Styela clava: one gene and its partners. The protein of the gene in region 1 purifies or fractionates together with the protein of each later gene. This does not show direct contact. Links are inferred from orthologs where the notes say so. Each region holds a gene or a part of one and is shown on either strand. Other genes may lie near its edges.

The links.
Region 2: the proteins of ribonuclease P protein subunit p30-like (region 1) and ribonucleases P/MRP protein subunit POP1-like purify together in Homo sapiens (affinity purification with mass spectrometry; 5 studies listed by BioGRID and IntAct, counting the BioPlex papers as one, with this or other methods). This does not show direct contact. The link is inferred for Styela clava from reciprocal best matches to the Homo sapiens genes RPP30 and POP1.
Region 3: the proteins of ribonuclease P protein subunit p30-like (region 1) and ribonuclease P protein subunit p29-like purify together in Homo sapiens (affinity purification with mass spectrometry; 4 studies listed by BioGRID and IntAct, counting the BioPlex papers as one, with this or other methods). This does not show direct contact. The link is inferred for Styela clava from reciprocal best matches to the Homo sapiens genes RPP30 and POP4.

Annotation. Positions count from the first base shown.
Region 1 is NC_135258.1:7,656,076-7,659,960, forward strand, and holds ribonuclease P protein subunit p30-like, read left to right. Parts: upstream 1-1,296; coding exon 1,297-2,181; 3' UTR 2,182-2,296; downstream 2,297-3,885. Other genes in the region: uncharacterized protein LOC120339507, read left to right, coding at 1-104; ADP-ribosylation factor 4-like, read right to left, coding at 3,617-3,706. UniProt on the Homo sapiens protein: Component of ribonuclease P, a ribonucleoprotein complex that generates mature tRNA molecules by cleaving their 5'-ends. Also a component of the MRP ribonuclease complex, which cleaves pre-rRNA sequences.
Region 2 is NC_135257.1:9,025,167-9,030,382, forward strand, and holds the start of ribonucleases P/MRP protein subunit POP1-like, read left to right. Parts: upstream 1-2,027; 5' UTR 2,028-2,167; intron 2,168-2,505; 5' UTR 2,506-2,530; coding exon 2,531-2,576; intron 2,577-2,914; coding exon 2,915-3,043; intron 3,044-3,575; coding exon 3,576-3,644; intron 3,645-4,417; coding exon 4,418-4,515; intron 4,516-5,216. UniProt on the Homo sapiens protein: Component of ribonuclease P, a ribonucleoprotein complex that generates mature tRNA molecules by cleaving their 5'-ends. Also a component of the MRP ribonuclease complex, which cleaves pre-rRNA sequences.
Region 3 is NC_135262.1:12,184,751-12,189,682, forward strand, and holds ribonuclease P protein subunit p29-like, read left to right. Parts: upstream 1-1,633; 5' UTR 1,634-1,727; coding exon 1,728-2,159; intron 2,160-2,466; coding exon 2,467-2,661; 3' UTR 2,662-3,518; downstream 3,519-4,932. Other genes in the region: large ribosomal subunit protein bL27m-like, read left to right, coding at 3,555-3,606, 3,688-3,798. UniProt on the Homo sapiens protein: Component of ribonuclease P, a ribonucleoprotein complex that generates mature tRNA molecules by cleaving their 5'-ends.

The sequences.
Region 1 (3,885 bases):
TTTTAGGATATGGTTCAGATGAAATAAAACCTTTTAAGAAAACAGTTTCCACAGAAGCTCATAAACAAAGATTGGCACTCATAAGAAAAGCGACTAAAAAGTGATCGCTTGTATTTTGTTTACATTCACAAGCTATTCTAATGTATATACAGTCAAGGATGGTCGATCATGTTGAAATCATAGTTGGACATGTTATATAAAGGTGACCAAAAAACATAATGCATAATATCTCTATTACTTATACGAAAATAGGGAAAATTTATTTATTACCCAAACTTCTGTTTGTGTATAATCAAAGTAGGTACTCCCGCAGTATGTGTACCAGGTTAGGGCTAGGCCATAATTTTATTCCGATTTTCCTTAATTTGGTTCTATTACAAGTTAAGGGACTGTCTGTGTTAGCCAAGTGAGTGCCCCCTGCCCATAGGTTTCAGTCTCTTCACACAACTTGATGTAAAATAGGCGAACAAAATTAGTTGCCTCTATATTTTGTTACACATACTCCTGGAGCGCCCAAAGTTTTAGTAATCTGTGATGCTTTGCACAAAAGTTGTGGTCTTTCTAGAATATGTTCTGAGTGACCTGGATTTTTTACCTCTAAGCCATTCACAATTTTCTAGGTGTGAATTACTGAATGATGATGAATAATGAATTTTTATGTTCAATAATACATCGTTTACTTTTCCACTAATTTATCATCAAAATGAATGAATGGTGTGAAAGTTGTGTTAGATAAATATTTTTTCACATATAGGAATGTACGGTTTTGCATTTCTTTATATTGAGGAAAGCTATTTGGAAGTGCCAACTCATACATATAACATTATAGGTTTTGAAATATCTTTACTATGAGTTGATAGGATTGTCTTGCGACATTATTGAATGCTCAAAATGGAACATTGAGACTAATATATAAAACACATTCTATAGAAATTCTTATGTTGATATTTACCAAAATATTTAGTTGAAGTGTTGGGATATGTATACATTATGTGAGAATACGGACTACCGAATTAAATGACAGATGCATAAAAATATGTTCAAATTGCACATTTGTGTAATGAGTGAAAAACAGTTACTTGGATAGAAAGTAGAAATTGATGTCTGGAAATAAGTTGCCATAGGGAGAATTCTGTTTATGTCCGTCATGGTTGTATCTTTTCTGTCTACCCCAGTAGTAACATCTCCAAGATTTCAATACTTGTTTGGATATGGCAAATCTTTTTAAAATATCAATGTTTTGATCCATGAGAATCCCATATTTCATTATTTGTTTCGATCATTGAAGTATAATGAATGATTTTTTGTTTTGTTTACAAGAGCCAGATATTACATTACATGAAAATCATAATGTCTCATTTACCAATACCACCAAAGGGTTGCTTCTATGATTTGAATGTGCCTTATGATGAAAATCAAAAACATATGGATTCTGTTTTGACTACATTTAAAGAGCTGGGTTATTCAGTTTTAGCATTTTCAAAATATATTCCATCAGGATCTTTGAAACGAGGTGGAAAAAAGAAAAGATTGCAACTTCCTACCCCACCAGACAAAGTAAATTTTGATGGAATAACGCAGTTATCGAGAATCACGATTGAACTGAGCGAAGTAGACGACCAGATTACTGTTCGAGATGTCATAACTCATGGGGGATTCGATATCATTGCGGTAGAACCAAAGACTGAAAAATTATTTCTTTCTGCATGTACCCAACTTAATATTGATATTATAACATTTGATGGTGCAGAAAAACTTTCATTCTTTCTAAGGACACACCAAGTTCGTGCAGCAATCGCACGCGGCATTCATTTTGAATTTAACTACTCACCAATGGTTCGTGACCCAACAATGCGAAAGCTAACAACCACATGTGCTCTGAGATTGGTTGAATGCTGCAAGTCAAAAAATATAATAATGTCGAGTAAATCTTTGCATCCACTGGAATTAAGGGGACCATATGACGTAGCAAATCTCGGAATTTTGTTTACAATGAAAGAGAGCATGGTGCCACATCTGGTGTCTCATAACTGTCGATGTGTCGTGGTTCACAGTTTTGCAAGGAAAACTGCCAAAGGTGCAGTTTTTATACAAAAAATTGAAAGTAGTGATTCTAATATGCTCAAAAGGCAAGCGGAAATTTGTGATGATGAAGCAAAGAAGGCTAAATTGGAATTATAATACTGAAAATATATTTAATTCAAATTTACAGTATCTGTTTTGGGGTATTATAAAGCTCCCTGTGTTACAGGTCAGACCTAGTCAAGCCGCAGTCTTATCCACTAGCAAGTACTGTCATGATGCTTCCAGACAAATTTGTATTGGCAGTTGTGAGCCAACAAAATACCATACGCATACGGCCGGTGATAAAAATAAGGAGATTCTGATTATTCGAAAAATTGCTTCGGGAAGGAAGTCACCCTGGGGGATGACTGTTTTTGGGAGGTCAAAATCTTATCTGACAATATGGAGCGATTGAAAAGCTTGAGGTTTTATCTAGCCAGCAGAGACCAATATAAAATTGAACATAACTAAATCTGCAGGAAAATTTTGCAGAAAGCGCTGTTAATTAATTGGTATTTATCGAATAAACTTTTTTGTCATGAATAAATAAAGTCTATAAATTCTGTCAGACTATCAGATCTCAAATACTTGATATTTGAAATTTTTCTCGAAATCTGGGAATTTCGTATGCATCCATTATAACAAATTCTATGAGTTTTGTTTTGGACACTCTCATTGGCTACCGAAATACAATTGCAACACAAATCAGTTTTGGACATCCCTATTTCCATAAACCCTATGTTCAAAAGACCCCAAGCACTCCTGAAATACAACTAGAATACAGTTAGACCATTGTATTATAATATTTTCACACAATTTTAAGGAAACATACAATAGCAACACCCACCTATTAATATATTCTACAAATCAGCAAAGCAAAATCTAAAAACATGAAAATCTGCACAGAAGGAAGTGCAAACTTCCAACAGACATTTCAATAACTTAAAGGAAGAGCATCACCCTTCACGAAGGAATTACAAATTAGATAATTTTAAATTTTCTGTGATGTGTTTCCAAATTTTTGTCCTATTTATCAAAAAGATAGATAATCATTATTAATTGCAATGTTGAATTAAATTTTTTGGCACAGAGAAAAATGGAGAGTCCGACATTCAAATTTTAAGTTTAACCATCAGAAGTGTAATCTACAGGCAAGATGGACTCATCCCGATTTCAACCTCCAGGCATGGCTACAAAAATTCTTGGAATGAAAATAAGTAACTCTATTTATCTTCTATCAGCAAACTATGTGTACACAAAACAGCCAACAGTAAAGTATATACACAGCTTCCTATTCTTACAAACGTTGACTGAAACATAAATGATATACATAAATCTGCAGCAGTTAAGGTTTTTACTATAGACAACTATACAACCTCATAAATAGTTGAATTGCCTATTTGGTTAGATTGTTTTTATAATATTGAACATCACAAAAACAATCTTTAGTTACTACATGTGACAAATAAGATATTGCAGTTATTTTTTTTGAACCAAGAGCCATAAGCTTTCGAGATAGAACAGGTCTGTAGATATTACTGGTCCGTCAAGTTCAACTTTTTTTCTGGAGTTCAGACGATAACCAGTCCAATCCTTCATACAATCCATTTCCTTCTGTTGCACAAGCCGCTTGAACGTACCACTGGAAAAATAAACATGGGATATAACTTTAGTCTGCAAGATTAACCTTAATTCAATATTACTCACTATATTGTACAATGAAGGGCGCTCCAGAAGTGTGTACCAATATGTAGGTAACTAATTTTGTTCGCCTACTTTACATCAAGTTGTGTAAAGGGACTGAAACCTATGGGCAGGGGG
Region 2 (5,216 bases), on another chromosome or scaffold:
TTTCTGACATAATTATAATGCATGTAGATGATTTTTGTAACGTGTAGATTTTACACAAATATGTGTTTAGAAATATTGAAATGGGAATCAATATCATAGATTGAATTTGTTCGAAGTAGGCCATGAGACAAGTTCTATTTCATTATAATTAAACTAAATTTTGTTCTGGACTCTGGTGCAGAAAATATTTGAAACAGAATCAAATTTAATCTAGGCTATTCTATACGTTCACTCACACTGCAATGAGTGTTAAGGGTTATAGGCGGCCATATTATAATCGTTGTTGAATTATTGAAGGCGTGTTGATGAAGCTAGTTGAGAATATGAAGTATTCAATATTTGACTGGTGAACAATTTGTTTTGAATGCCAATTACCTATGGACATTTCCATTTCCAGATTAATTGTGTGATGTATATTGTCTTCCGCCAAGTAATATATACATTTGCCCCCTTACCTGTCTCTTGCTGCTTGAAAAAGACAATATATAGCCAATCACTTTGTCACAGGCTTTTTATCACTCTGGTGTGTGAAATACTGTAATTGGAGACTGAAGTTTATGGTTTTGAATTGGTTGTCATAAATTATTCAACCATGGTCAGTGAGAGTTGTGCAAACCAGTAATCTTAATCCTGTGAAGCTAATATACTTAATACCTATTTAACTATTAGGTATTACTTAATGTTAATATCCATTAATTTGACTAGTATGCAAAATAGTTTATAACAGGGTTGTACTTTCAAGATGCAGACGGATTGCTACATACTTTTATATATGCATTCCAAAATAACTTGTCTGGATAATAATAACATATTAAATTGCCTAATATACATATTTATGTATAGGTAATTGACGAGGTTTGACGTTACCCAATTGATATTGTTGAATTTTAATTGTTTGAGTTTGTAATGAACAAGTATCCGTAATGTTTAACTGATGTATCTCTATCAAGCAGGCACAGTAAAAACATAGACTGTTTCTTCTATATTCTTCCCATAGGTACTATCCTTCAAGCAGCTCCTATAAATTATTATTTTGTTAAAATTGAAGTACTATTTTTACTTAAATTTGGATGCCTCCTATTAACAAATAAATTTTTTGCCGAGTTTTTGAGAAATGAGTTCCATGGTGAATGTTGGAAAATTCTTAGTTGCTCCATTTCTATTTATGCTGTTTATATAACTGATATTACTTTACACTTTGTAATAAAATGTTGCTACAAACTTCAATCATTTTTGTTGCCACAGCAAAGCATGGATGATTATGAATATTGAAGTGAAATTACAATTTCCAGCTATTTGATATAATCTTGTTATTTGATTTGAAAACATTATCAAGTACCGGTAGTTATGTTTGCAATAATAAAAAAAAAAATATAATTGATCTGAAATTCAACCTGTATTATGAAGTCTATGATCATGCTCCATTTGTAAAAACTAGACTTTCAAATGTGAACACATATTCTGTACCTGGATTTCTCAAAGGGATATTTTTATGACGTGTTGTCTAGCAAGGCATGGTCTAGCCATCTCTAAGATATTTAGAACCAGCCATTCTTTAGTCAGCTATTTTTCAGTAACATATTGGCACAATAGAACCTAATTAGCTTATGGGTTGTTAATGAAACCCCATTTTTGTAATTTGCATATCTGTACAGCCAAACCTTATAAAGGACATAAGGCACTACCTAAAATCAAAACTAAATCGGGTTCAGTTTTGAAACCTAGACCAGAAGATGGTCACTGGTCCAAGATGACGGAAATTCAAAAAAAGTACACTTCTGAAAAATGACTTTGGTTTTACTATGATGGTATGATTATTAATTAGGTTATTAATGATGTAATATGAGTGAAACAGATTTAGATTGCTCGTGAACTTTTATTTCGTATCAAATTGAACAAAATGCGTAGTGAAACGGGTATCATAGATAGTTCTTAGTCCTATCATTTTGCTCGATCCTTATTTCGAATTTCACAGTAGCTAATTTTTTTGTGCTTGAATGTATTATGTATGATTCTTTCTTGTTTTTATAAAGGTTAGAGCACTATACTAAAATTGATAATTAGGTTTTCGGAAACTCCTTTTTTGATCATGTTTTACATACCGGTACTTGCTATTTTATTCAAGACTCATCGATAATTCAAAGGAAAAATTTTACATGGTGAAACGGTAAGTAATATTTTCAAATTTACATGACATTTCTGAATAATAGCTGCAAAAAACATCCAAATGTTTAAATTTACTGAAGTATGAAACACTTTTCATGTTCTAAATTGACGATTTGGTGCTGTGGCTTAGTCGTTATAAACACACCATATGTTATAAACACTTCTCTATACCCATTTCCTGACTATAAAATTTTTGATAATAGCCTCAATAATGTCTTGGATCAAGAACGGTTCTTTTTCTTCGGATCCGTAGCTACATTTCTGTATTTTGAACTTTCTTTTCTGGTAGAATATCTTTGCTTAATAATTGATATTTAAACCAGTCATCTTTTCTTTCAGTTCATTAAACTCGTAGGATTGAAAAATGGAGGCAAAACAGAGTAATAGCAAAGCTGCTAGTATATCTCAAAGTAAGAAGCTAGTTAACATGATTCTATGGTAGTGTGAGATTATCTACCTAACTACGATGTTCTTGAACTTTATAATTAGAATTAATATGAGAGGTTACATCAGGATATCATTTTCAATGAGTTATTCTAATTCTTTTAAATACCTCATCAGTCATCTGCTGCAATGGTTTAATATAAAATTTCAACCTTAATTAATATCATAAAACTCACAGCTAAAAGGTAATTCAACTCAGCTTGACTTGACGATGAGCAGCATGATCGACAAACTGCCAAACATTTTCAATTTCATTGGTTGTTTCGTACTTGCTTTTGAATATTTTGACCAAATTTTTCAACAGATGCATCTGCCAAAGTCGGTAAAGCTGGTTCTGAGCAGCAACAAGATTCTGTTACTAATCGTATCGTTCGCTGGAAGAAACGAATGAGATATCAGCCACAGAATGTGGTAGTCAACAAGAAGAAAGATTGTATGTTGTCTAGAAATTAAATATAACTTGAGATACTGATAAGTTGTTAAATTTGTTAAATCAATTTGTTTTTCGAATTCTCAATTTTTTTCTGGACAACCTTTATCAGATATCAACAAATTTGCCGGTTTTCATTATTTTTGCTAAATCCTGTAAAATTTCTCCAAACCTAGATGAGAGAAAGCACTTCATAGTTCATAGAATTTAATATGTCATATTTGGCAAAAATTATGCAGAGACTTTTGTTGATTATATGCAGTCAAAAACAACTGAACAACCAGGGTTATGGAGTCTTCTTTAGGTTACCAAAACTTTCCAGCTCCTGACTCCTGATAACAAAATTTGAAATAAAAAACTTTAGCGTATGCAATCATTTAAGTTCGATTTGAATTTTTTTTTTTTATTTCCGACCACAGTACTTGTACCAAATACTAAATCTGACTATACATGTCATGGGTATAAAATTTTGTATACTAATAAAATTACATAAATCATCAAAGCATAATTTCATTTTTTACCAATCATTTTTCAGCTTCTCGTCATGAATATTACAAAGATATGGTTGATTCGGAATCACAAAGCCAAGTTGAAATTCCTAGAGGTAATATTCAATATTCATGTACAATGTATAGAAGCAGTTCATGTCTTTTTAGGTATTTGCACAGCAGCATCTCACTAGTGTTTATGTCCACTAGGTACAAAATTTCACAAAAAAAGAAGAATTTGATCGGAACCTTGGTTCTTTGCTCCGCAAATAGTTTAGTTTCTTCAGTCATCCTCATCCATTCACACATGCAATATTCGTTTGAAAGTTTCGTTCTTCAACTTACCGAATTTATTGATTCGGCCAATTTTAGTTGGGTGATTAAATTAAAACAAAATCTAGCCATGGATGAGATTACTACTGAATTTTCTGAAATTTTGTTTTAAAATCCATTTCAATATTGGATATTTGAACCTCCATATGTAGCAGCAATGGTAATGTTTTTTTTAATTTCATTTTGTAAAATGGGAAAAAATGACATAAAAATAATTTATAATAATAATTGAGATTATATACCAATTTTAGTTATCCTCATTATTTTAAACTGAAAAATTTTGATCTTACTGTATTTGGTATCGTTTGCTTTTATGGCCATCAACTGGATTTGACTTCTGGTTGAATGACTTGACAATTCTTATGGTAGTTACTAATTTTTTTAACTGGTTCGCCACATCAAAATTTTATATTCAACATCAAATTGCAATATTGATAATCAAGAATCAAGATGATTTAGGCTTTACAATTTTCTCATGAATCCCCCTTTTTTTTTAAATACCTATCACACTTCTACAGGTGATAAGTGTCAATTCTTATTTCTTGATATATTTTAGCCATCTGTGTGGCTGACAAAGTAGAATCATCTGCCAAAGAAATGAAAGCGATGCTACAGGCGGTATCACAGCACACAAGTGATAGAGCTGTCCTACAGGTAAATAACAGGATAATCATTTCCCTTAATTGTTTATTAATACTGAATGAAATCAAAGTATAGAGCAGGGGTCGGGAACCCATGGCTCGCGAGCCATATATGGCTCTTTTGGTGACGGCATATGGCTCCCAGAAAAATCTATTATTCTAAGATTAAGCTTACTATTGTTACTAGACTTCAAACTATTTTATGGCCAAATTTGGCAAAAAATTCCCAATACGTTTGACAACGCGGGCCCAGCGCATGTCTATGTTATGTAAGAAAATTACCAGACAGACATTGTGACAAAACATGGGGATTCTGGAACATATATTGTGACATCACAAAGCGATAGAGTTTTAAAATACTACGGAGATGCCTAAACGAAAAAGGGTGATGAGTATCGTAGATTTCAACTTGGGCTGCATGTGAGCAACCGTTCAAGGCCCGCAGCGACAACATGCAGCATCAGAAGTCACATTAAATGTATATTGACATGGAATGTGTTGACTTTTGAGTAAACGTTTCAGGCCTGATTAAGTGAAGAAATGTTATATGGCTCGCACGGAAATGCAATTGGAAATATGTATATTTTAAGGCTCTCTTGACCAAAAAGGTTCCCGACCCCTGGCATAGAGGATCATTAGGATGTATCAGTGCTTCAGAGGTCTAAAAGGAATGAAAGAGGAATAAAAAATATAGAAAATTGGAGAATAGTAAAA
Region 3 (4,932 bases), on another chromosome or scaffold:
TCTCTTTTTTAAAAGTACCGATAACGAATTTTAGCCTAGTCTATCACAGCTATTTCTACACTAATTTTTGATCACTGCAATTAAACTGAAACTTCTAGGAAGACGAAGTGATCATTAAATTATTTGATTTATATTTAAATGTCCAAAACACATCTGAAAACTAATGAACAAAATTCTGAAATGCGAAAATGAGGCATTGTTCACGACCACGCTTGGAAATCTGTTTGAGTGAGAAAAGCATCTGAGCGGATGCAAAAAGGGAGCATTGTTACGTCACTATTTGCATCTTGCTGATTGGCCAATGTCACGAAGTAAACAAGGAAATTGATGCTTGAGGAAACATCCATTGAATACCGAATGGACCTTCCCCCGAGCATCGACTTCCTTGTATACTTCGTGACATTGACCAATCAGCAAGCTGCAAAACGTGACGTAACAATGCTCCCTTTTCGCATCTGCTCGGACACTGTTCTCACTCGAACAGATTTTTGAGCGTGGTCGTAAACATTACCTCGTTTTCGCGTTTTTGAACTATATTCGTTAGTTTTTAGTTGTGTTTCGGAAACTTAAATATAAATCAGATGAACAGATTGTTGTATGCAAACACATACCCCATTTTACAGGCGCCAACTCGCAAAAGCACTCCTAAAATAGCCCCGAAAATTTTGCAATGGTGAAGTATAGGAAAAAATTTGCGGGTGTCAAAGGTCGAGAAAAGGCCCATTAACTAACAGGAATTATTAGATGTGTACCGACTACCGGTATAAAAGTATTCCTCGAAAGATATCGTCAAGCTGATTATAGTCAGAGTCACCTAATGCCAAATTGCCCAATCAGAATTGTCAAGTTGGATGAATGAAAATGTGGATAGACCTAGTTCACTCTATAGTAGTGATATGATAGCATAAAAGTCATATTGGGGATGGCTAAATAGGTTGATGGGTGTCAAATTAGGAATGACAAAATACTGAAATAGGGTCGATGAGTCAAAATCTCAATGGTTGCAAAAGGGATGGCGAACTACGTTCGATGCGTTTCAAAATAGAGATGGCAAAATGCGGGTAGCCCAAACTGCTGGCAGATGCATGGACTTTGCAGCTTTGGTATGCAGAAAGACGTACCGGTACCGTACGGTTTTGTAGTTGAACTGTGAACGAACAACCCATACCGGTACCGGTACCAGTAGTTTTGCACTTTCACTAAATTTTATCGCTTCAGTTGTAACCTTTCAAGAATTTAGAGACATACGGTAGGCTACTCGTACCGTTATTATTTCCTTGTTAGACTTGCTTAAGGGTGCCGCTGCTCAATAACCAAATTTGGTTTCTTGTGGCTCCCCTCACCCTGAAATGCCTTTTTATTTATTTATTGCAATTTGTATATCAAGTGTGCATTTAGTATGGTGAGAAAATAAACTACTGATTACCGTGGGTTTACCGGTAATGCTATAATAAAATAGAGCTGTAGAGAGTGAAATGTCAATAGCAACAAAATATTTGGGCTGTTATCAGGACGAGAGGCTACGGTGTTGGTTATATGATAAAGTCGTCTCATCGGTTTTTCTCTCTGAATTTTAACTTCTAGCTTTCTTTATCACGATCTTTGTTCCTGGAAAGACATCATGATTATTGCTTTTTTGTGCAGCAGTAGGTAGCCTAGTTCAGGAAATTTGTATTTTACAATTTGGGTCTCTTATATTGCAGTGTGTTGATATTTAAACCTTAAACATGTCTCGGCAAGGAACATATTCATATGTGGAAGCATTTATTCAAAAAACTATTCCTAAAATAAAAGAGCGAGATTTGAAAACTTTGAAGTCATCTTTGAGAAACAAGCCTATTATGTTGGTAGGAGAACAAAAGAGAGCTAAAAAGAGAAAACGTGAAAAACAGAATAAGAGAAGAATAAAGAATCGCATATTGGCGAAACCTACAAATTCAAACTATCAAGATTATGAAAAACTGCGTATTTTATGGATGGAATACATCACAGATTTACTCTCGGATTATCAGACATTAAAACCAGGAGAAACCAAACCATCTTTGGATAACAAAAACGCACAGGAAGTTTTGTTGAAAGCAGATTATCATGGAGCAGATCTGTCTGTGACAGGTTCACCTTGTAAATCTCATTTGGGTTTGAGTGGAACAGTCCTTCAGGTGTGCCAATATATCTGTATTATTAACCTTTTTTATTAACTCATTTTGTCCTTGTTTTGAAGTGCACTGGCACAATATGTGATTTCATCATATATCAATGGTATTTACAGATTCAATACTAATTGGTGATTGCACTCTACACATGCAACTTTTGACCTCATAATATATAGAATAAATTATTATGTTTCCTGATTATGATAACTGGATGACTTGGTAATTCGTTCAAAGGATTGTTCAGTGTGTTAAATATGCATACCAATATTTCCGTTTTTTTATTAAATTAAGTTATTTTATCTCATTTTTTCAGGAAACAAAAAACATATTTTTGATCTGCACCAAGGAGAACAAATTAGTGAGAATTCCCAAGAACAAGACTATATTCACATTGGAATATTCTGGATATCTTATAACAATATTCGGATCACAATTTTGCTTCAAGCCATCTCATAGACTCATGAAAAGATTTACGAAAAATCCACGCTTAAAAGAACTTTTGCGATGATATAACTTTTTTGCAATGCAGTTAAACTAAAATTGTTAAAGATCGGAGTTTAATGCTAAGTGATTTGTATTTCATCAAAAGCGTAATTTGTCTTCTGTTGCTTAGCAACCATCTTTTCAAAAATGTGGAAGGATATTAGTTATTAATTGCAGCACATAATTGTTAATTTCACTCAGTGTTGCATATAGATATCTTTATATCGTTTTAATGTTAAGGCCTTTTCAATTCACAATAGGTTCTCCAATACTGCTTCTCCATCTTCGAGGCTAGATAAATCTTTGTCACCGATCACCGCATATATGATTAGTTTTAATACGGGAAAATTGTGAACAAAGTGTATCAACAAAGTGACTCGCACAGACCATTTATTTTTACACAATTTTATGCGAACTCAATTATTATTAACACCCTACTTGGCCTACTAGACGTCGTTCTGTTAACTTATTCCATACTTCACTGCCTTAAATGGACCTTAGTTACTGCCTCTGGTTCAGAGGCTTATTAATAGGTAATCAACGTAGTGCAATCTTCACAGGAAATAGGTTTGTTTAAAAACAATACTACAGTATAAATTCTGAATGAATAACCATTTACAGTCTTTGCGATTAATTAAAACTCTGGAAATACAACACTCTCCCATTCAAGAACCATCGACATTCGACACCTGTGTATTTCTATTTATATCATTGAAATTTATATGGTGTTCGTTCAACTCTTACATTTTACTCAAAGAGAAAACAAGTGAAATATTATTTTGTAAGACGTGGTAACTAAATATAAGGACAATGAACTGGCAACTTGCATTTACTGACATTGCCACCCTCTCACATCCAACTCTATTATCATTTTTCTTGTAGTTTAGTGTTACTATATTAAATATGAATATATAGATCATGGAATGCATCAGAAGGTTAACAAGGGTGAAACTCCATCAATTCTCAGCTTGTAAGTCAAAATTTTTCTCGAGAATTTGTTTCAATCATTCAATTTTCAAATACAGGCATTTATCGAAAGTATATTTTTCAGCACCAACATTAAAAATCCCAAGTTGCTGTGCATCGACTGGTGGTAAAAGTAACACAAGGAATAAGAAACAAATAAATAGGAAAAGATATAGAGGAATTAAAGTTGACGATGGTGGGTTCTTGTAGAGATTAACCTTTTTTCATTCCAAATTTCTACTCCCCCTTTTGAGATGTTGGGCAATTCCAGCGTTACTTTCGTTACATCTGAGCAAATTTTCAAATTTCAAACTGACTTAACCTAAAACGTATTAGAAGTATGCAAGTCACATTGTTACTAGTTGTAGATGGCGTTAGGGGTGTAACATAGACACCATAGAGGTGGCGATACTATGGACTACTTTAACATAGGAATGTCCCGAAACACCGTTACTTGCGTTACAGAAAGAGGACAAATGAGATAAGATATTAACACCAACTAACTACTTTTTGCCATGTCACTAGAGAATATAGTTCAATTGTAAAACCATAAAAAATTAGGTGAAAAACTTTTGTCTGAATAGCAAAATTTTCATTAGGAAGAAAAAATGGTCCGTTACTTACGTTACAAATTACAATCATGATTCGATTTTTGTTTTGATGGCAAATTTGATATTAAGTCAATATTTGACATTCAATTTCCGTGAGTTCAAATTTTTAAATAATAAATCCTTGACTAGATGATAAATTCTACAAATAAAATAGGCAATTCAAATTTCCAGCGTTACTTTCGTTACATCTGGGCAAATTTTTAAATTCAGACTGATTTAACCTAAAGCCAATTACAAGCATTCAAGTAATAGTGTTTCTAGTTGTATATGGCCTTGGACCTGTAACATAGACACCATAGATATGGAAATACTAGGGACTACTTTCACATAGAAGACCCATTAAAACTGATACTTGTTTTGAAAATGAACAGAAGCTTTTTAGTGGAATTTTGATGTGGCACATATCTCAAGATATTGTCACCAATCAACAGCTTTTTCCCATGTCAATGGAGAATATATTTAGGTTGTAAAATATTATAAAATTAGGTGAATATTGTTGCTTTACATCAAAGTAAATGACTAACATCTTCCCAAAAATACCATCAATCTCAAAATTATCTTCAACTATGGCAATTCCGATATTCATTACCTCTTTAAAGTGTGCTATTCTTATGGCAAAAGGTGGGATTGATCGGTAAATGTTTGTATTTACCGGGGTAAATGAAAACTAAATATCCAAAACCATTATATTTCATGGTTAAGACCATTTTGATTTATTA